2 linked regions of the Mytilus edulis genome follow. The main gene of each other region encodes a partner of the protein of the gene in region 2 in a complex. Links are inferred from orthologs where the notes say so. Each region holds a gene or a part of one and is shown on either strand. Other genes may lie near its edges.

Region 1 (11,034 bases), on a different chromosome or scaffold from region 2:
AGTGAAATAACTTTTAAGGGTTGACAATTTTGGATATTCATCGACTCTAAGGGGCCACAATTGCTTTATTATACCGAACTAACATTGGAAAGGCCTTTCGAACACTTCTTTAGACTTTACACAACAGTCAACACAAACACACAAGCTGAAAATACCTTTACGGCTTTGTGTTCTAGAATTTCTCGAATGTACAACAAAGGTAGAATCTTTTTGTAAAATATTGATGGCCCTGAAAAGGACCGTTTATAAGAGACACGGCTGCTGGCACTATTTTCATGACCACTGCCTTATTTCCATTTCTCTCGGGTGGGCTTCCAGTGTAACGTGCACGCTGCCATTTTGTTTATTTACGTCTGTGACGTCATTTTCATGGGAGGTACTCAAGTAAAAATCAACAAACTGAAAAGGTTATTCACCGGTTAATAGGGTTATTCACCGCTGGTGCAAATTTTTAGGGTTATTCGTCCTTCCTTGCAATTGAATGAAAAACAACTGAATTATTCCATGTCACGTGATAACGTTTCACCCAATAGAATTGTTTAAAATATATGTAAGGTATAATAATGACAAATATACACAAACTCAATATTGTACAATGTTAAAAATCTGAAGTCAATGAACCATGACTACAATATGACATGATATTAATGTGGTTACACACAGATCATAACAACAAATAATTAATAGAGTATGTTAGATAGAACAGAATGTTTTAGATTGGCTTGCTTGTTAGAATACTTATAAGTTGTATGAGCTCTAACATGTATATAAACATTGTTCACAACAAACCCTTTAATAGGATTGACATTATTAAGATTCTTTGATTTTGGAAAGCCAAATCATATACACATTATTTTAACATGTTTAACATGACATTCTTCAAACGCTTTAAGTACACACACTTGGTTATATGAATATATTGTTTGGGCTGTTCCGATCATACTCCATAGTCATATGCTTTTTTATGAATGAGCTACCCAATGTCGAAGTAAGATAATGTAACAATATAAGCATTTTACGAATATAGACGCTTGTGAAACTGAAAATCATCACAACAAGGAAACGGGAACAAACAATGCTAAAATGATTTATAAACCATTTTTTTATACATACAAGTAAATTAAGAAATAATTCATGGAAGCCATAGATTTGTTGGAAATTTACACATGGCCTGGGCCGTGATATTCGAATTTTATCCTGAGCGTTAGCGAGGGATAAAATTAACGAATACCACGGCCCAGGCCATGTGTAAATTTCCAACAAATCTATGGCTTCCATGAATTATTTTGATTCTAAAAGGACAAATACGATCATTAAAAAACTGAAGCGATGATGGGTATACCGTGTGTGTGGCTGTTCTATTTTACCCACTACTCGATAAATGTAAAACAAATCTAATAAACCTGCATGAATGATTTCTTAACTAGCCGCTAGAAAAAAATGTCATTACTTTTTTTACTTCTCAGTAAACCCAACATTTGCAATTTCAAATTTACATTTTTTATCGTAAGCTACCGTCAAATTCACTGTTGTAACCAAGGAGCCGCCATGTTGACTTGCTGAAATCAGTAAATGTGCGAATAATGCAATAGAACAGAAAACAAGCAACACCTACCTCAATACTTTATTTTAATGCAATTGTATCCGAGTTTAGACGGTTAACGCAAAAGAAAAACCTTCAGCTTTGACGTTTTCATTCGTATGACGTCATGTTTTGAAATGACGTTAATGCGCCAAAATCATTACTGGAATTTCGCGGAATTTTAATTTATTTTGTTTTTGTCCATTTTTCCGTTCTCTAATGTGTAAATTCTCTTTGTTATGCGTCAGAATCAAAATAAATGTTCTGTAGGGTTTTATTCAATTGTAATTGTTAACACAGTGAAATCCACAACCGTTTACACATAGGTTACGATACATGTGGATTTACGTGGGAGGCATATTTAAACAGCCATCTGTGTACATCTAGGAGTCTGCGCTAAGTATAGATATATCGAGAATTTTATCACGGTGTTGTTTACAAAGCGAAAGAAGCACGTCATATTAGAATTATCATTTAAATTTATCTAAACCTCTCTAAATATGTTATTGAAAATAGTTTAAGCATGTCACTTATTCAATTTGCTCCGTTCTTTAACATCAAATTAAAAGTGCGTTTATTTTAAAAACGGCAAATATTTGCCTATACCTTGAGCGCCTTGATCCAAAAGAATTGCTGTATTTGTCCTATTAGAAAACAATTAATTCATGGGGGCTTGAATTTATACTGAATTTACAACCAGTTTGCCATTTATGCCACTATTTTAACCCTCGCTGTCGCTCATGGTAAAATATTTAGTATAAAGGGCCAACCTGTGCTTATATCAGTATAAATTCAAGTCCCCATGAATTATTTCATAATTATATACATGTACTTATTGATGATTTTGATTTGATATGATACAGATGTTGTGGTTTGTCTTCATTGAAGCCTGTACAAGCATGACTAATGGCTGGTACAGAACAATTGCTATTACTCTTAAACTTACAGGTATATTGGGCTGTGCTATTCCGTCAAATCTGGCACCTGAATCAAAGACATTATTGGCTACAAATGGTTGTGGTTGTTGTGTTGGATAACCTCCTTGTTGTGTTGGATAACCTTGTTGTGGAGGGGCCTAAAATAAAAAATAAAAACTTACAATATGTACTTACAGACAAGAAAGATATATACATTTTTTACAAAAGTAGTCTGCTCAATTAAATTTAATTAAATTTAATGGTATTTGTTTTGCAAGAAAAAGTATGCTTACTTTTACATACTGAAAATGTGCATGTTCATTGATTACATACTACCTTCTATTAAGAACAAGAAACTGCTTTCTTGGTTCTGACCTAATTATTATTGGCGAAAGGAGATATTATAAAAACAATTGAACATTTTATTTTTATTCATGAATATTTAGACAATTGACAAGCTCTAATGTTGTTTTTACGATAATATTTATTTCATTTTTCTCAAAATTTAGTTTATTTAATCAAAATTGTCTATGCTATTAAAACTCCCATTGAACAATAACAAAATTATAACTTGTTACAAACATTTTCAGAAAAAAACCCAGATTAGGTGAAGGATTGAGCACTCACAAACATGTTTAACACGCCACATTCTTTATTTGCCAGTTCCAATTCATGAGAATCATGTTATTCAGTGGTTGCTGCCTGTCATATTTGATTTTTATATATTGTTTTGTCGTAAATCAAGTTGTTGGTTGTCCATTTAATCTTAAATTTAAGTAAACAAAATTACTGACTAAAGAACTTATGAAATTACTAGACTTGACACTTAACATGTCAGCGCAGGTATATTCTAGAAATCCTTAAACATATTATTATGACTCACATGAAAAAAGTTCAGCAGTTACTATACATATGCTATTAAAGACACTTACGTATGAATAGGGTGGTGGTGGTCCCTGAGGTGGTGCACCATAGGCTCCAGGAGATTGATAAGACTGTGCCATGTGAGTTACTGTCACACCTGGAGCTGGTGAGCCATCTGTTAAATACAAAGGTTTTCACTTTACATGCTTTATAAGTTGAAGAAACTTTTGATCTTATCAAAAATGCATTGGACATTATATAAAATCATATTTTCATCTTAATCACATGGATCAGATGTCACATACTTGGACATTATAACTACATTGCGAGTGCGTCATGATTTTGCTATAGGAGGTAAAGCAACAGGGCATGAGTTCAGTAGATTGGGTACCTTTAAAACACTTTCAACTAACTTTGCCAGTCTGTAAGTGCATTCACACTTTGAGCTAACTTTGCCATTAAGTAGGTGTGTTCACACTAAGATAAGCTATACATGTACTATTTTTAACATCTTTAGTATTTATTTATGTACATGTGTAGTTGAGGTTTTACTTTTGTCATCTTGTAAAGAAGAAAGTATGATAAAAGCTATTATTTAGCCCCTGAAATAACAAATATGGTAAAACTTTTCAAACACATGAAGAGATACATGAATAGAATGATATAGTGTATAAATATAACTTTTATAATGTCCTTATGATCATGATGAAGTAATAAGTATAGCATGCATTTTACTCTTAGTATTAAATTTGACAAAAGAGATACATGTATGTGCAGATCCAAAGTCTAACAAACACCATTTTATACCTATACTATGCTGGGAAAATTTGAGTGTTGATGTCTTTGTGGCGACATATTTTTATTTATTTTATGACAACTGTGAATACCTAGCTGAATCCACTAGTTTTCCACTTCAGGTATTGGTTCACTTGATAGAACTACATTCTAGGTTACTGGTATGTTGAATACATGTACTTCAATTACTTACGAGCAAAGCTACTACTGTATCCTGGTGGCCCTTGCTGATATTGTTGAGTAGGGTAACCAGCGGTGGGATAACCCTGGGTAGGATACCCTGGTGTTTGGTAAGGTGACTTATTTGGTTTTCCTGGAGAGAAAACAAACACTATTATTGTCATGCATATAGCTCAATAATAACTATTTAATTAAAATACATAGATAACAATAGTTAATGGCAGAGCACAAAACTAATAGAATGAAAAAACAACCACTAAAAAACATATTTGCAGAATATAAAATAAACATAATGTATGTGTAGCAAACAAGTGTTTTTAAGTGCAAATAAAAGATGTAGGATATACATGATATATGCAGGGTTCATTCTACATGTTTAAGGAAGATGTACATCTCCAGTATTTATATATCTAAAAACATCATTAAATGATGTACAGTATGACAGTAGAATTAGTTGTTCTCTTTGCTAACAAGCTTCTGTAAATGTTTCCTGAAATTCAGTGGAGATTTGAAATGGTTTAATCATGTTCCCAAGAAGTTAACCATAGACTGTACATTGTATCTAAATGAAAACTACATGCATGTTCATTTTTTAAGGATTTTTCATTGGCCCATATACATTTTTACAGCACTTGCCAGGTATATTTTTCCAAGTGATGATTGTTAGGTACATTTTTACACTTACCTGACTTATGTAAAGATTCAGATTCAATAGTTTATTAAAGTATCACCACATACAACATGATTAAAACAAGATACAATTATAAAATTAATTATACAGTAAACATAGTTAAAACAATTAAATACATGTATGTGCCATTCTTAAAAGAATTATGAGAGACTATTAAAATACAAATAATACTTATTCATTTTATAAAATACTACAAATACAGTAGTTAACGATATAAAATACTGTTTCTCCTTGTTTAAATGTTATTGCAGGTTTTGGCAACAATATTACAAATATTGGTATTTTTAAACATATATATAAATTTTTCTTCATCAGACAAGTTTAAAAACATATATATCATAAAGAAACACAGATTTACAAACTAAGCTGCAGATCATTGTTTTGTATTGGCTGATGTAATTAAGTCTTGATGAAAAACTTTTTTTACAAATCATACAAGCCTGAAATAGGTCCTAGTTTTGTTTTCAATTCATGTGTTTAAGTCATGTAAGTTAAGTGTGATGATATGTTGGAAATTGATCTGTTCTCCAATTCATTTTGAATGTTAGCTATAATCATTACTGTAAAACTATTTCTGGAGATAAAAAAACTAGCATGGCAGGGATTGCTTCAGATAAAGAAAAAAGTAGCCTCCAAAGACAGTCACATGAGTCAACAAAAGACTGCATGCATGGTTATTTAAATTTCTTCCTATTATTCAATTATGACCATGATGACACACAACAGGCACAGATCCAGCCATTTTAAAAAGGGGGGTCCCAACCTAGGACAAAGGGGGTGTTCCAACTATATGTCCCCATTCAAATGCTTTGATTGGCCAAAAAAAAGGGGGGGTTCCAACCTGCATCCGGCAATGCACTATAAGAACATAATTTTCAGAAATGAATGTTTTAAAATTATCATGATTATGCACATTTTATGAATCATTCATAAAGAATTTTTGTGAAATTAGCTCAGGTACATGTAGGTCTCCTTGTCATGCTCATCAGGCCAGGGGTCTCATTGAGTGGGGGTCTGATCCCGGATACCGCTTATTGTTTAGTGAGAATCCTGTATCAGTGTCTCGCCGTTCTTTGTTTCCATTTTTCATGCTTAATTGTTCGACTTTCACATGTCACTCTTTAAAAAAAACAGCCAATCCTGCATCACGCTTGGACCCTAGTCCAAATAATTATGACATCTTGAAAGGCTATTATATTTTTTTTTCTTAGACGCCTTTCATCGAAGGAAAGCGTCAAAGCAAATATTTAAAATATTCTTCCAAGACATCATAATTATTTGGACTACAATGTAGCTTGGACCCACCTCATCAAGAACTTAATTTGACAGAACATGCTCATAAAAATAATATGTTGAAATTAATAAAAATGTTAAAATTTTAATTTAACTGATACAAGTAACTTATCAGAATTAGAAAATTTGCCTGTAACATTTATTATGTTGTTGTCTTTGTAAACAAGGATGTAGATTAACAACAAAAATATATTAATTTAGTAGAAATAAACCTTAGTTTTTCTCTTCTCATTTTTATAGACAGTAATAATTTTTATCCCGGATAACTTGATAATTTTAGCAGATCTTTAACACTGTTGTACGTCTCTTACCTGACATTCTAAAATTTCGTAATAATATTGTTTACAATTCTCTCTTGTGAGCTTTGATCATCTGTTCTGGTTGACTGATTTCTCACGATTCCTTATAAAAGATAACAAAACAATATCAGTAAATCTGTAAAAAAGTTAAATTTACAGGTTCATCAATTAGATATGAATATTAATATAATCATTGTTTTCAATTTTTTAGAAATAATTATGTATGGATAATAATCTGGTTGAATATTTTAAGATTTGTTATCAAATAGTTTAGCATTTAACGCCCTCTGTGGGGAATTTTTGTACAAACGGGAGACAATTCAAATGAGGTCAATCGCTATTGATTCCATAATGAAATGAAATTCAATAGGAAACGACTACATAAATGGTAAAAAAATCAAATAATGTAACACAGTTTCCGTTTTTATATCATTGTCATATTTCATAATAGATTCGTGTTAGAGTTCAGTAGATTTTTCAAAAATAAACACACTTTTGTCAAAAATGATATGGACGGTCGCCATTTTGAAGAGGTTATCTTTTAAACAACGATTTTTTTGTCCAAGTTCTTTGTAATTTAAACATCTTAACCTGTTTTAATGGGATCGTTTGACTATTATATAAAAACGGGCTACATTTGTTACAATGAATTTTAAAAAAGAAACAGAAATATATCATTCAACAGATAAACTCATAAAAGGAGGACTAAGGAACTGATTATTCATCTTTATTTTTATCAATGACACTTTAAAGTACAGAGGGCAAAATTAACATATTTATAATTCTAAGATTTTTAATGAATTTGTCAGTTTGTTGGTTAAACATCTGAGTATGAGTGAGAACCTGTTTCAAGTTCAGATGCAACAAATGTCTACACAAATTTACATCAATAGCACAGGCACTTGTTTCTATCCATAGGAATGTTGACTATCCATATAAATAGAAGCATTATATGGATAGTCGACCTTCCTATGGATAGAAACAAGTGCCTGTGATCAATAGTCAATATATTCATGTACATTGCCATATTGTCGCGTTTCAGTTAAAAAAAGATGAGTAGGATAGCGCAATCACATATGTTAACTCAAAATTTAATATCATTGTGCAAATGTAGTTTTAGAAGATTCCAATAACTGTCACATTCATGCAGTTCTCTACACATTTCCAATGTCACATGCGGAAGCTATTACATATGTACTTCAAACCTTTGAATAGACTTATTAAGAAGGGATATAATTACGATACTGTTGTCAAGTCATTAAAGATTGCATATTTTGGCGTTAATATTGACTCACTGATAAGGTCTTTGCATCGGAACTAAACACATTTATTCTAAAAACAGTTGTTGGCATGACACGGGTTATGTTCTTCTCATATATGTTATGATGGTATGATACTAAACCCCTAACGGGAAGGATTGTGCCTAATGTTCATATGAGGAAATCATAATCTTTCAGTCAGTTTAATTGAAGTCTGGAGCTGGCATGTCAGTTAACTGCTAGTAGTCTTGTTATTTATGTATTATTGTCATTTTGTTTATTTTCTTTGGTTACATCTTCTGACATCAGACTCGGACTTCTCTTGAACTGAATTTTAATGTGCGTATTGTTATGCAATTACTTTTCTACATTGGTTAGAGGTATAGGGGGAGGGTTGAGATCTCACAAACATGTTTAACCCCGCCGCATTTTTGCGCCTGTCCCAAGTCAGGAGCCTCTGGCCTTTGTTAGTCTTGTATTATTTTAATTTTAGTTTCTTGTGTACAATTTGAAAATTAGTATGGCGTTCATTATCACTGGACTAGTATATATTTGTTTAGGGGCCAGCTGAAGGACGCCTCCGGGTGCGGGAATTTCTCGCTACATTGAAGACCTGTTGGTGACCCTCTGCTGTTGTTTTGTTGTTTTTTTTATTTGGTCGGGTTGTTGTCTCTTTGACACATTCCCCATTTCCATTCTCAATTTTATTCATAGTAAAAGCTGATTAGTGGTTAACTCCAACATTAAAAATTCTTAAATTGGTCACCAAAATATAATTGTTTAAGGTTCATCATAACAAACGGACAAATATGGCTGTATTTACATGCCAAAAATTACTCTTGAGTACAGACTTACCTGTGAAGTTGGAAAAGTTTTAATGCCTGGCATCCAATAGATATAATAAAGTTAAATCTCTTTTTGATTTTGATGGGCATTTTTTTCCTTCATGCAAAAGGTGTGAAAATTAACTAAGTTGTGGTACAACTATGAGATGTTCCCTCAGGTAAAAAAACGGTTTGTATTGTTTGGATTGTCCTTAATTGACATGGACAAGAAGTATCTTCACAACTATCATGACTATAGGTGAATTTAAAGAGTTTATCTGAGTCAGTGAGTGGACAGTATCAAAGTAATTCAGGTGCCTGTTTATTTTTACACCTGAAGAAAGGAAAAAAAATGCCCATCAAAAACCAAGAAAGATTTTCTTAAACACAAAATGCATTTAACTTTTATATATCTAGTGGATGCTAGGCATTAAAACTTTCCAAACAGCACAGGTAAGTTTGTACACAGAGTAGTTTTTGTGGTGAAAATACGGCCATATTTGTCCATTTTTTATGATGAACCTTAATAAATGTGCCAGATCTACATACTAGTCTGAAAATATGTACATGTATCACAAGCTCCACAAATTTCATTAAAAACTTTGGCATTTGGTCACATTTTTCAAAGTATTATTTAACAATTTCAAAGAAAACAAGCTAGTATATATAAAAAAGAAGATGTGGTATGATTGCCAATGAGACAACTGTCCACAAGACACCAAAATGAAACAGACATTAACAGCTATAGGTCACCTTACAGCCTTCAACAATGAGCAAAGCCCATACCGCATAGTCAGCTATAAAAGGCCCCGATATGACAATGTAAAACAATTCAAACGAGAAAACTAACGGCCTTATTTATATAAGAAAAATGAAGAAAAACAAATATGTAACACATAAACAAATGACAACCACTGAATTACAGGCTCCTGACTTGGGACAGGCACATACATTAATAATGGCCTGACAAGAAAACAATATCTCAACATGTTTTGGCTGCAAATTATGGGGTCACACACACTTTGGTTACCAGTCATTAGGACTGTTAAATTGGCTAAATTTATTTGAAGGAATATCTGGGTCATGAAGTCTGTTTTCATCCAAAAAACATATCTACCAATATCTTCTAAAGTTTTTACCCATTCTGTACATTTGTATGTATTTTCAAGCATGTCAGGCATGTCTTCAGCACTGAATGTATATTGTTTCATATATTATTTCATTCTGTTTGAATTTTAGATCCAGATTTGATTAATTATAAGTTCACAAAATGGATATCAACTGACTTTGATGTGAAAAATTTCTGCTTATAACATTTCTACTGAAGATTTAAATAAGGTTAAAAAATGGCAGGATCACGTCAGAATCCACATGGATTGAAGCAGATTGGATTAGACCAGATTTGGGATGATCTACGAGGAGGAATCAAACATGTATACAACCGACAGAGCATGGCTAGAAACAGATACATGGAACTATACACGTATCCTTTTACATTTAATGTGAATCTGTGATTCATCAAGAGATTAATAAAAACATTTCAGTTTAAACAGTTCAATCCCATAGACAAATGATAGATGTGTTCTACTGTAAATTAAACTGAATTTTCAAATTTTTAGTAGGGGGGGGGGGGGGGGGGAGATTAATACCATGAATTTTGGGGTTTATAACCAATAATCTTGCATGTAGTTAGAAAAGTAAGGTTTAACTTTATTTTTGGGCTGCTTGTTTGTTATTTATATCAACCACACTTGCATTAAAATGCATTATATTAAAAAAAAACATACTATAGATTCTTTATCTACATATTCTTTAAGAACTTGAAAAGTTCTCTGACATTAATTTTTTTTTATATCATTGTTTGTATTGTATTATGAAAATTATTGATGTTGTAATATTTATACCCTTTTGGGCCTATAATTGGAAATAAATATCTTCTTCTTTTTATAACAAATGCAAAAAGCTTTGAACATTATTGGTTTTGAAAATATTAAGCCACTATGAAACACATTATTTTAACATAACTCAACGGTCAGTAAAGCAGGTGAGACAATTCATCCTGTGTACTTCTGTTTTATTCGAATTCTAAATAGCACTGGTAAACATGAACAAATGGAACCACATGTGAACTTGTCATTTAATCAAATATTGCTTCCTTAATGTTTACTTAGACATGTTTACAATTACTGTACAAGTGTTCATCAGTCTGGACAAGCTGGTCAACAGTCATCTTCAAGGGCACAAGGTGGGCGTCGCCCAAAACCACCAACAGGAGGAGCCCAGTTTGTTGGATTTGAGCTGTATAAAAGACTAAAAGATTTTCTTAAATC
Region 2 (11,478 bases):
CCCGGAGGTGTTCTTCAGCTGGCCCCTTAATTAAAGGGAAATCACACTATTTATACTACTAATAATAATTCATTGAAATTTTGCATGCAGACAGATCATACTTATTACAACATTTTAGGCGAAAAAACAATTGGGGTCACCGATGTTGTTTTCGAGATATGACGTCATCAAAAAGTAAAGAATCGCGTTATACCGAAATATAGAAGTAGCGCTTTAAGTTGCTAATTGAAGGCGAAATTATTGAAAAACGATCTTTCACTGGTATAACTAAAACATTCAATTGTAACTTTTACCTTATACACATTTATTTTTCTCAGTTTCTTTATTTTTCAAGGCCTTTGAACATTTCCCGCCATTTTTAATTTCTATTTATTATAGATTTTTCTTGAAATAAAAAAAATCTACTAATGTTTTTTCCTTCAAACTTCTGCATAAGCTGCAGCTTCAGGGGAGATTTTAAAAGCATAAATAAAAAAGGGGGGTCACCGATGTTTTAAATCCGCTAAAACGGAAATAATCTTATTATCGATTTTTGGCGGGAACTATAACTAACGCTCAGAGAACGACATTGCTAACATAGGAGCATTTCTTGCAATGCTTGGAACTATTGGGTTGACTTAAACCTTTTCACTTCAAAATATAATATCATTTTTTCAAGGTATTTCGATTATTAATTGATATTTTTATCAATCTATAGAAACGTTTTAACATTACATACTGTAACAGTTTATTATAACGTAATTGTCAAAGTTGAAGTCATCTGAATTTTTTAATTGCATTTGTTGTATAGGGAAAACGATTGTCTGCCTCGTGCCGTATTAGAAATAATTTACGGATCCGGATTTACAGATTTAGAATCCTCTACTTCGGAATACTGAGGGTATCCGGGCTGAAAGTAACACGTTCCATTTAGACTACAAACAGAATATATTCACTAACTTGTCCATTCGCACCGGGAAGATAAAACCTGAAATGCCGTATTAAAAAGCCACAAACTCGGCACTTTTAAAAAAGCCCTTAACGACACCATTTTCGGAAGAAATTTAAAATTGGTTAACATTCCCGTAATTACATAACGCTCCATAATCGCACCAACGTTAGTTCGACTTTCAGTGAAATTTTGAGTTAAAGTTCGAGTTTTATTTTGATTTCGAACATTTATTCCAGTAAGAGTTCTAGTCAAAGCTCGAGTTACACTTATAAACTTCCGAGTTATACTGTTAGATAGAGTAAAAATTCTGGTAAGAGTTAAAATTTTGAGATCCGATGAAATTAGGAGTAAGATTGCAGTTTCTATTTTCTGTGGGTGCACCTCTTTTTCTTTAAATGTATATTCTTTTATTACATTTATATTTTATTACGGTATATGCCAATACTGATTAATGATAGTTAATTTGAAAATAACTGATTGAATCTGTGTGCCAATTTAAGCACTCTCTGCTATATCATATTGGCCATTTTTTTTTCTCAAAAGAACCGAAGAATCAAGAGCTTATCATCTACCTTTGTATTAAAAAAAAAACTGGTTGACCTTTTCAGTCATGGTCGGAATCCGACAATCTCACTGTATCAATGTCTACAGCCAAGGGGGGTTAGCCAAGTGATCACATTGAACACGAACCTACATCTGAGCTATTAGGCAGCAACCATTTGATTTTCTGGGGGGGGGGGGGGGGGGGCTATGGTTTTTTTTTCTGTACAAACTTTTTTTTTCGCCTGCGGCGAAAAACAATCTATTTTTTTCGCGACAAGTCGAAAACAATTTTTTTCTTTCAATTTTAGCATTACATATAGTGGCAGCTGAGGGTGAAACAAACAATTTTTTTTTCTCAGAATCAAAAACAAATTATTTTTTTCTCCAAAAACTGGAAACAAACTTTTTTTTCCAAAAAAAAAACATAGCCCCCCCCCCCCCCCCCCCCCCAGAAAATCAAATGGTTGCTGCCTTATCAAAATTGAGAATGGAAATGGGGAATGTGTCAAAGAGACAACTCCACTGAAATTGTACACAAGAAACTAAAATTAAAATAATACAAGACTAACAAAGGCCAGAGGCTCCTGACTTGGGACAGGCGCAAAAATGCGGCGGTGTTAAAACATGTTTATGAGATCTCAACCATCCCCCTATACCTCTAGCCAATGTAGAAAAGTAAACGCATAAAAAAAAGTAACGAACATATGTGTAAAAAAGAATCCAGAAAATTGAAAGTTCTGAAAAAAAATTGGATCACACTTGAATAAACTGACAAAAATGGAAATTTACCATTCTTTTATCATGCCAAACCTAAGTTACTGTCCACTCACATGGCATTTTTGTAGCGAGCGCAACACCAAAAATATATATAAAAAAAAACCTGCCAGAACCGGAGCGCTCAGATTTATCTGTAAGGACTACAATAACTCATAGGAACAATTACTCGAACAATCTTAACTACCAACACTTAAAATCAGACGCACGAGAACCACGGCATAAAAAACTGTGACAAAATCCAGTCCAGAGCTCTTACACAATTAATTAAATTTTAAAAATTACTCGTATAATATTTTAGATATTAACTCACATAAACAAACATATCATATGCACATCAAAGATTAAGGCTTCTTCTTGACATTTGAAGGTCCCTACTATGTATTGGCTATCTAAACAACACACAAAAAAAACCATTTAAATATTGTTTCATCTCGGCCTCTAGTAAGTGTTCTACAAATAATTTTTCAGTGCTTTGAACAAGTAGCTTATCATAAACTATTGTAATAAAATATATGAACATAGTGGAATAAACTATTTTTGGAGTGAAACAAATTCTTTGGATGTTTTAGATAAATTACGTGCTTTTGATGGTCCTTTTGATTCTGTTGACAGTTTTGATTTTTCTACTCTTTACACTACACTTCCACACTATTTCATCAAACAAAAGTTTTCCTATTTAATTAAATGGTCGTTTAGTAAATCTGAATGCAAATATATTTGCTGCAGCACATTTAAAGCCTTCTTCTCTAATGAGAAAGGAAAATATGCTCGATATACTTACTGGAGGTGTGATAAGATGATTGAAGCTGTTAATTTTCTCCTTGATAATTTTATGTACGTTTCGGCAACAAAGTTTATCGACAGGTTGTGGGTATTCCTATGGGCACTAATTGCGCCCCTTTATTAGCAGACTTGTTTTTGTACTTTTTCGAATCACAGTTTAAGACTAAACTCAGTAAAGACCTGTCGAAATTGCATTTAATTGATAAATTCAACAACTCTTACCGTTATCTTGATGATATTTTTTCGTTAAATAATCCAGAATTTTCTCAATATACTGCTGAAATTTACCCCAAGGAACTTACTTTAAATAAATCAAATTTAACGTTAATAATCGTCTTTTCCTAGATTTATATATCTCGGTTTTAAACGGGAAACTCCACACTTAAATTTACGACGAAAGGGACGATTTTTCGTTCCCTATTCTTAAATTTTCCATTTTTAGATGGTGATGTTCCTTTGGCACTATCTTACTGTGTTTATATTTCACAGCTCGTTCGCTATGTCCGTGTCCGTTGTGATGTTTTTGATTTTAACGAACGTAATCTATGTATTTCTGGTGATTATTAAACCAGGGATCACGTTACCATAGATTACTTTACTAATTTTTTCCATAGATATAAAGATTTGGTTTTGTAGTTGTTCCTGTAGAAAACATATTTCAAGCGGGATAGCACATCCTCATTTTTACGGAAATGTTGTTAACCGTGCAAGGAAATTTAGAAATGATCCTGGTAAACTTATTGCTCCTTTAAATAAACTTATTCTAAAAGGTTACTAATTCAACACTGTAATAAGATCATTGAATATTGTTTTTATTGGTATAAATATTGATTTTGTTATCAGTAAATAAAAAGCAAACTAAATATTACTGGTATGTTATATACATAAACACATTCATGGATCTAATGTACAATGTGTCGATACCTGTATCTTGGCATTGCACGAGGTCATGTTTTCTCTGACTGTTTATGACGTCTTTACACTAAATCCATTGGATGTTGGATGTGTACGGATTGGTAATTTATTCTTAGATGCATGATTTTTTTTAATTATATGTTAGTGGCTTTGAACTAGCTGTCTGTTAACTGCGAGTACTCTCAGATCTTTTCCTAGCGTCTTTTTGTTGTTGGGTTGTACCAGTACCCGGCCACGCCCACTTGTATTTTTGTCCATCTGTATAGTTAATTCTTTTTCAACTGATTTTTATAATTCGTTCTTATGTTGTACTGTTATATATCACTGTCCCAAGTTAGGGGGAGAGTTAAGATCCCGCTAACATGTTTAACCCCGCCACATTTATATGTATGTATGTGCCTGTCCCAAGTCAGGAGCCTGTAATTCAGTGGTTGTCGTTTGTTTATGTGTTACATATATTTGTTTTTCCTTCATTTTTTTTTTATATAAATAAGGCCGTTAGTTTTCTCGTTTGAATTGTTTTACATTATCATTTCGGGACCTTTTATAGCTGACTATGCGATATTGACTTTGCTCATTGTTGAAGGCCGTACGGTGACCTATAGTTGTTTATTTCTGTGTCATTTTGGTCTCTTGTTGAGAGTTGTCTCATTGGCAATCATACCACATCTTCTTTTTTATATTATAATTTATTATTTTCTTTTAGATATCAAAATCTCTGGAATCGGGAAAAACACCAAAAGACTGGAAACATGCAATTGTTGCACCAGCATTTAAAAAGGGTGAACGATACAAGGCTGAAAATTATAGACCGATTTCACTCACTTGTATTTGTTGTAAGTTGATGGAACATATAGTGACAAGTAACATTATGAACTATTTAGAGGCAAATAACATTCTTTACGACCTCCAACATGGTTTCCGAAAATCCAGATCATGCGAATCACAACTTATTCAATTTATACAAGAACTTCATAACAACAACAGCAAAAATATACAAACAGACCTCATTATTATGGATTTTGCCAAGGCCTTTGATAAGGTTTCCCACAAACGTCTACTCTATAAACTAAAATACTATGGCATTCGAGGTAACACTCTAAAATGGATTCAGGCTTTCTTATCAGACCGTACGCAAACAGTGGTAATAGATGGAATAACATCAAATACAGCACCAGTAACATCAGGTGTCCCCCAAGGAACTGTCCTTGGGCCTATACTCTTTTTAATATACATTAATGATTTTCCAGAATACCTGGAACACAGCAAACTACGACTCTTCGCTGATGACAGTATTATATACCAAGAAATAACATGTCAACAAGACTGCACAAATTTACAAAAAGATCTTAACGCAGCAGCGAAATGGGAGGCTGATTGGCTCATGGCCTTCCATCCTGGAAAATGCACTATCTTAACCATCACACAAAAAAAAAAAAACCATTTAAACACGATTACATCCTTCATAACCATACTTTAGAACTAGTAACATCTGCAAAATATCTTGGCGTAACCCTACAGTCTAACTTAAAATGGAACATTCACTACAACAACATCGTATCAAATGCAAATAAATCTCTTGGCTTTCTTAGGCGAAACTTAAAAATTTCTAACTCCAGTATCAAATCCCGTGCTTACCAATCAATAGTGAGACCAAAACTTGAATATGCCTGTAGTCTATGGGATCCACACACAGCAGATTATAAAAATAAGCTAGAAATGGTACAGAGGCGTGCGGCCCGATATGTATGTAACAATTACCACAACACCAGTAGTGTTACATCCATGTTAAACGAACTACAATGGCCCTCACTTAGTGAGCGCCGCCTCAAAACCAGACTTATCATGTTCTACAAGGTCATCCATGGACTCATTGCAATCCCATCACTAGTCCTCATACCATCAGATACTAGAACAAGAAAATTACATACTCAAACATTTCGGCAAATATCCACCTCTAAAGACAGCTACAAATGGTCATTCTTTCCGCAAACAATCATTCAATGGAACATGTTGCCACAAGTTGTGGTAGCAAGTCAAACCATTGAAATTTACAGAGATCAGTTGACACCAACTGTTCTCCACAACATAATTTAATTCTATAAATAACAATGTACATATTTTTTAATCACTTGTTGTTTTCTTTCATGTAAATATCACCAAGTATTCTACTAAGTTAAAGCAAGGACGTATAACTAATATACGAGGCCTCTCATGGGGGGGGGGGGTCCTAGTAATCACATAATCACCATTTTTTTGCCAATATAATCACATAATCATTAAATATTTGCTTATCTTTAGTAATCAAATAATCATAAACTAAAAATACAGTCCTAGGTAATCAAATAATCATGAAATATTTGGCTAATAATCAAATAATCATTAAAAAAACGGCCAAGTAATCACATAATCAAAAACCCCATGAGGGCCCTCATATACGTCCTTGGTTAAAGATAAATTTTTGTTCATATTTTTTAATCATATACTCCGCGCATGCAACAGTTCGTAATCTTCAATAAAAATGAAGCTGTAACTGTATATCAGAAGAAGAAGAAGAAGAAGAAGAAGTCGATTAAGAGCTCCAGAGTCCATATTTACTATGTTAAATTGTACATATCATGTCCGATAAAACCATGTTACTTGCTTCCTTACTTATTTATCGTAGATTCCGGAAAATACAAGCTACTCCGTTATTGGTTTTTGTTATTATACACAGAAGTAAACAAAATTTTTGTCGCCTTGTTTACAGAACTTCGAAGTTGCAGATGAAGTAAATTTTATTTAAAGGACCAGTACAACAAAACCATAAAACATTGTAATAAGTCATTGCGTAAACCCTGAACTTAATGTTTGTTTCTAAACGAAACCACCAACCAAATGTAAAAAAGGGGGGTAGGCATGCCTTGCAGTGAAACGATAAAATGTTGTCGGTAAATTCGTCAATTTAACACACATTTAAACTAACAATTCGTGTCACATTTTCGTGTTAATTGCATATATATGCATAGGTAAATGTCACAATGTAAATTTGTTACAGGTAGATCATTAGGAGGTGGGTCTCTTTGGGTCTAAGTGTGACACGGGATTGCCAATTTTTTGTAACCGTGACAAGTGAAAGTCAAATTATTGTGCCGTAAAAACGGGAAATGAAGTCTAGTGGGAAACAGGAAATTACAAAAAATGAGAATTGCTTACTTACTTAGTGTAAGCAGGAAACGGGATTAGAACCCCACCCCCCTATGAGGTTAGTATTGCCCTGTATTGTCAGGCTTCAAACAGTCCTTTACAGCTACCGTTAGCATCAAATTGGTTAAAATTTCTGTGATTTGGCAACATATTCTTATCACGATTATATCTATCTATCATGATTAATCAGAGGTCTCAAATAAGTATCGTTACCATCATTTGGCAAGAATTTCTACTGTTATATCATCATGGAGGTACCCGAATTACGACCCTCAGTTATCCCAAATTAGACTAGTCATATCAATCCTAATTTTCATATTCAATCACTGATCAGATTGGTAGGATAAAATACCATTCTGATCAATAACATTTTAATATTGATCTCTACAATCAGACAATGTTAAATGACATGTTCCATATTTTTGTAGATGATCAGTTAAATTAAAGATTTAAAGATCTAAGATCACTGCCTGCTTTTGGTGTCATTTTAATGAATATAAATTGTAATTTTCTTAGCTATATGTAGCACTGGATTAATTCTTTCTAGATTTACCATTTTTTTGGGGTCAAATTTTCAATGTGTATACAAATTGTTTATGCAAACAGTTGCTATTCGTCTTCCTGACTTGGGACAGGTGCAAAAATGTGACTGTTATAAAACATGTTTTGTGAAATTTCAATCCTCCCCCCTAAACCTCTATCCAATGTAGAATAATCAAACACACAGTAAAACTCAAGTCTGAGTCTGAGAAAACACCCATGTTTAACCCAGCCACATTCTTTAAGTGCCTGACCCAAGTCAAGAGCCTATAGTTCAGTGGTTGTTGTTGGTTCATGTCTGTCATATTTGTTTAAATGTTGTGTAATGAAATAAGCCATTAGTTTTTCTCATTTGAATTGTTTCATATTTTTCATGTCAAAATCATTATACATGAAATTTTTCGTCAAATTTTCATGGCTCTTGTGAAGGGGGTGATTACTGTAAACCAACTTATTTTCGTGGATACTTTATTTCGCGTTTTACGATTTCTAGTCCACTTCGCGGCTATTTAATTTCGCGATTTTCTTATCTACTTGATGTAGTTTGATAAGTAAAGATCCAAGTTACATGTATACATATTCGCGACGATTTATATTCGCGTTATTTTTCTACTCGCGAATGTCGCGAAAATAAATCGTTGCGAAAATAAGTTGGTTTACAGTATATATTTTGGTCTGCAGCTTGATAGGGATAAATTAATTTTAGTTATTCAAATGCTTTTGGCATTTAAAAATCAAACATGTTCTGTACTTTGACCTATAATGGTTTACTTTTATAAATTGTGACTTGAGAGCAGAGCTTTGGTCTAGATGTGAATAATAAGATGTGGTATTAGCGCCAATGGTACAAATCTCAATCCAAGTCCAAATGTATAAAAAGTTTACAATTTTAGGTCAAAGTACAACCTTCTACATTCTGAGCCTTCGATCAAACTCGAGGCTCACACTGAACTGCAGGCTATAAAGTGCCCCAAAGTGACTACTCTAAAACAATTCAAACAGGAAAACCAACAGTCTAATCTATAAATAAAATGCAAGAAACAAGAAACACATATCATATGAACTGATGATGGTAATGATTTAGGACTGAATTCTTGGGGAAATAAATGGAATTTGGTTTATAAAGCAAGACAATGAAAGGAGTAGGTCCGGTAAGACCCCTTTTTGGCCCCAAAATATAGCAGTTTTACAAAATTGTTAAAATGTAAACTTTTATTTATTAATTGAACAGTAGAATGCTTCTGTTACATAAATATGGGCTGTTTTTGACAATACAATGCACATATATCGGGTACAAGCACCATTAAGTCATGCTAAATCACTGAAATCTTCACAATTCTAGCATTCTAGTTAAATTTTAGACGGTTTTCGTGTAAAACGAAAGTGGCCACATTCGTATTCATCCTTAATATTAAAATGTAAGTTGTATTTTATGATAATACATAACATATATAAAGGTTGAGGATGAACACGGATGCGGCCACTTTCATTTTTGACAAAAACCATCTGAAAAGAGGCATTTTTTTGCATATTTGGTAGATTTTTCATATTTGAGCTTGCATCGGATCGTTTTTAATGACAAAATCAGTTAAAATCTTTCACATAAACTAATTGAATCAAATAAAATAGACACTTAAGTGTTTAAAAAGTGGGCAAAATCTTTCGTCAGATGAACCTGAAATTTGAGGCCAAAATCGGTCCTTATCGGACCTACTCCTTTTCACTTACGTCCAGTAGTTGTTATAAACATAACTGACTAGCTTCACAAACAAAATGGCTTCCTATTTTACCCCAACAAAATACGCAAAACTTTTTGCCATTTGTATCTTTTTTAAATAAGAAAAAAACAAAAATGTTGCAAAAAGAGTTGCAAGATGCAGAAACAAGATTTTTGACACTAATGAACCATGTCATAATTAAAAGTAAGCTGACATTATATGACAAAATTATAGAAAACTGTAGATACATGTAGGTCTGAAAGGGAACCTGTTTCCTGTTTCGAGGTGCAAACATTTTGGAAAAAAATCTAGAATTTTGTCTTTGTTGAAATCTAATTAATTGAAGTTTGTCATCTTTAAATTTTGTATGTCTATGTCTCATCATTTTCAGTTAAATATTGGTACGTATGATGGCATAGAAGGATGTCATCCCCTAGTGTCAAAGCTGAGAATGGGAGTAAGGTGTTGCCAGGAGACAAGTCTGGGTTGCCATGGGAGATATGGAGAATTATACTTTCCTATCTCACTGCAGAAGACCTCTGTGGATCAGCCTGTGTATGTAAAACATGGAATGATCTGGTTATGAGTCTGGACAGCACTAGGTAAATACAATAAAACAAGAAATGAATAGTAAAATAAAATGGATTTCAGAATTTTTCCTGTTGAAAAAGTTTTCTTAAGTTCATGAGCTTGGTAAAAGCTTGTAGAAACACTTATTTTGTTGTTGAAGAATTGAGTTTTTATTAGATAATTTAAATTCATGGTAATTCAAGTTTAACTGAACATATTAGAATTAAATCATAAATAATTTTATGAGAGGCATTTCTAACACTTATGGTTTAGTCCAATTACAAGGTACAAATGTAACTAACAAATTGTTTTGGCACTTAGAACATTGAGCTTTTGCAAACACGTGGATCAACCTAGTGCAAAACTTGAACCTTTGAAAAAAAAGTTCTGTAGATGACCAATCCAGTCAGAAGCCTAGCAGATCAGAACACTAAATTGACAAAAGTACATACATGAAATGTGAAATCGCTGTCTGTTAAGAGGCCTTAGAAGGGTCTTAAAAAATAAAATTAGAGAGGTCTATAGATGACCTTTAAAGACTCTGCATATAAAAAAGAAGATGTGGTATGATTGCCAATGAGACAACTATCCACAAAAGACCAAAATACCACAGACCAGTATAAGAAATAGATCATTAATCATGATAATAGAATAAGTAGACAGCTCTCTCACAAGCAAAAAACCCCTAACTGTAAAAATATAAGGGCATACACTACAGACACGGGGTCACATTCTACTGAATCCACACAGCACTAGTAACACACCCTGCAGAAAATATAAAAAAGAAGATGTGGTATGATTGCCAATGAGACAACTATCCACATATATGATATAGAGATTTTTATCATCCTTTGTTTCAATGCTTTGATCATGCTGCTAAAGTTTGTCTATTACAAATGCATCCCATATCATGTCAGATTATGATATGGCAAACTTAGGCTTTTGCAAACATCATATATATATATATATTTCATGATATAGAACAAACATAGGCTATACATAAAATAAGAATACATAACTCCATACATTGTCCTAAGGGAAATACCTTTTGTTGGACTTTCTATTCAGAAATATTTTTTATAACAAAATAACGAATTGAAAAAGGGAATGTGACAAAGAGACAAAAACCAGACCAAAAGCAGAAAACAGCCCAAGGCCACCAATGGGTCTTCAAAGTAGCTAGAATATCCTGCACACAGATGCAGACTTCATCTCGCCCCTACACAATAACGGATACTAGATCAGCGAAATGGTTACCAATCATTATCTAAAGTCTGAAAAAACAAATAAAACTAATTACAAAAAACACACAAGACTAACAAAGGCTAGAGTCACGACTTGGGACAGGTGCTAAAATGTGGATAGGTTAAATATATATTTTTGGAGATTTCCTTTTCCTCTAGTCAATATGGAATAAACAAACACACAGCAAAACTCAGTTTAAAAGAACTTTAAATAATTGAAACATGCACATCGTATGTAAATAATAAATGTGATATGTGTATTCTAAAATCT

Evidence for each region. Proteins that work in one complex are often made in the same cells at the same time.
Region 1: F-box only protein 10-like (region 2) and cullin-1-like share a complex: the UniProt entries of both Homo sapiens proteins name them as parts of the SCF(FBXO10) complex. The link is inferred for Mytilus edulis from reciprocal best matches to the Homo sapiens genes FBXO10 and CUL1.

Annotation. Positions count from the first base shown.
Region 1 is NC_092345.1:9,609,168-9,620,201, forward strand, and holds the start of cullin-1-like, read left to right. Parts: upstream 1-6,906; 5' UTR 6,907-7,009; intron 7,010-9,943; 5' UTR 9,944-10,050; coding exon 10,051-10,187; intron 10,188-10,875; coding exon 10,876-11,034. Other genes in the region: DAZ-associated protein 2-like, read right to left, coding at 2,529-2,657, 3,432-3,538, 4,352-4,502. UniProt on the Homo sapiens protein: Core component of multiple cullin-RING-based SCF (SKP1-CUL1-F-box protein) E3 ubiquitin-protein ligase complexes, which mediate the ubiquitination of proteins involved in cell cycle progression, signal transduction and transcription.
Region 2 is NC_092355.1:23,272,230-23,283,707, reverse strand, and holds the start of F-box only protein 10-like, read left to right. Parts: upstream 1-6,638; 5' UTR 6,639-6,764; intron 6,765-9,784; 5' UTR 9,785-9,816; coding exon 9,817-9,995; intron 9,996-11,478. UniProt on the Homo sapiens protein: Substrate-recognition component of the SCF (SKP1-CUL1-F-box protein)-type E3 ubiquitin ligase complex. Mediates the ubiquitination and degradation of BCL2, an antiapoptotic protein, thereby playing a role in apoptosis by controlling the stability of BCL2.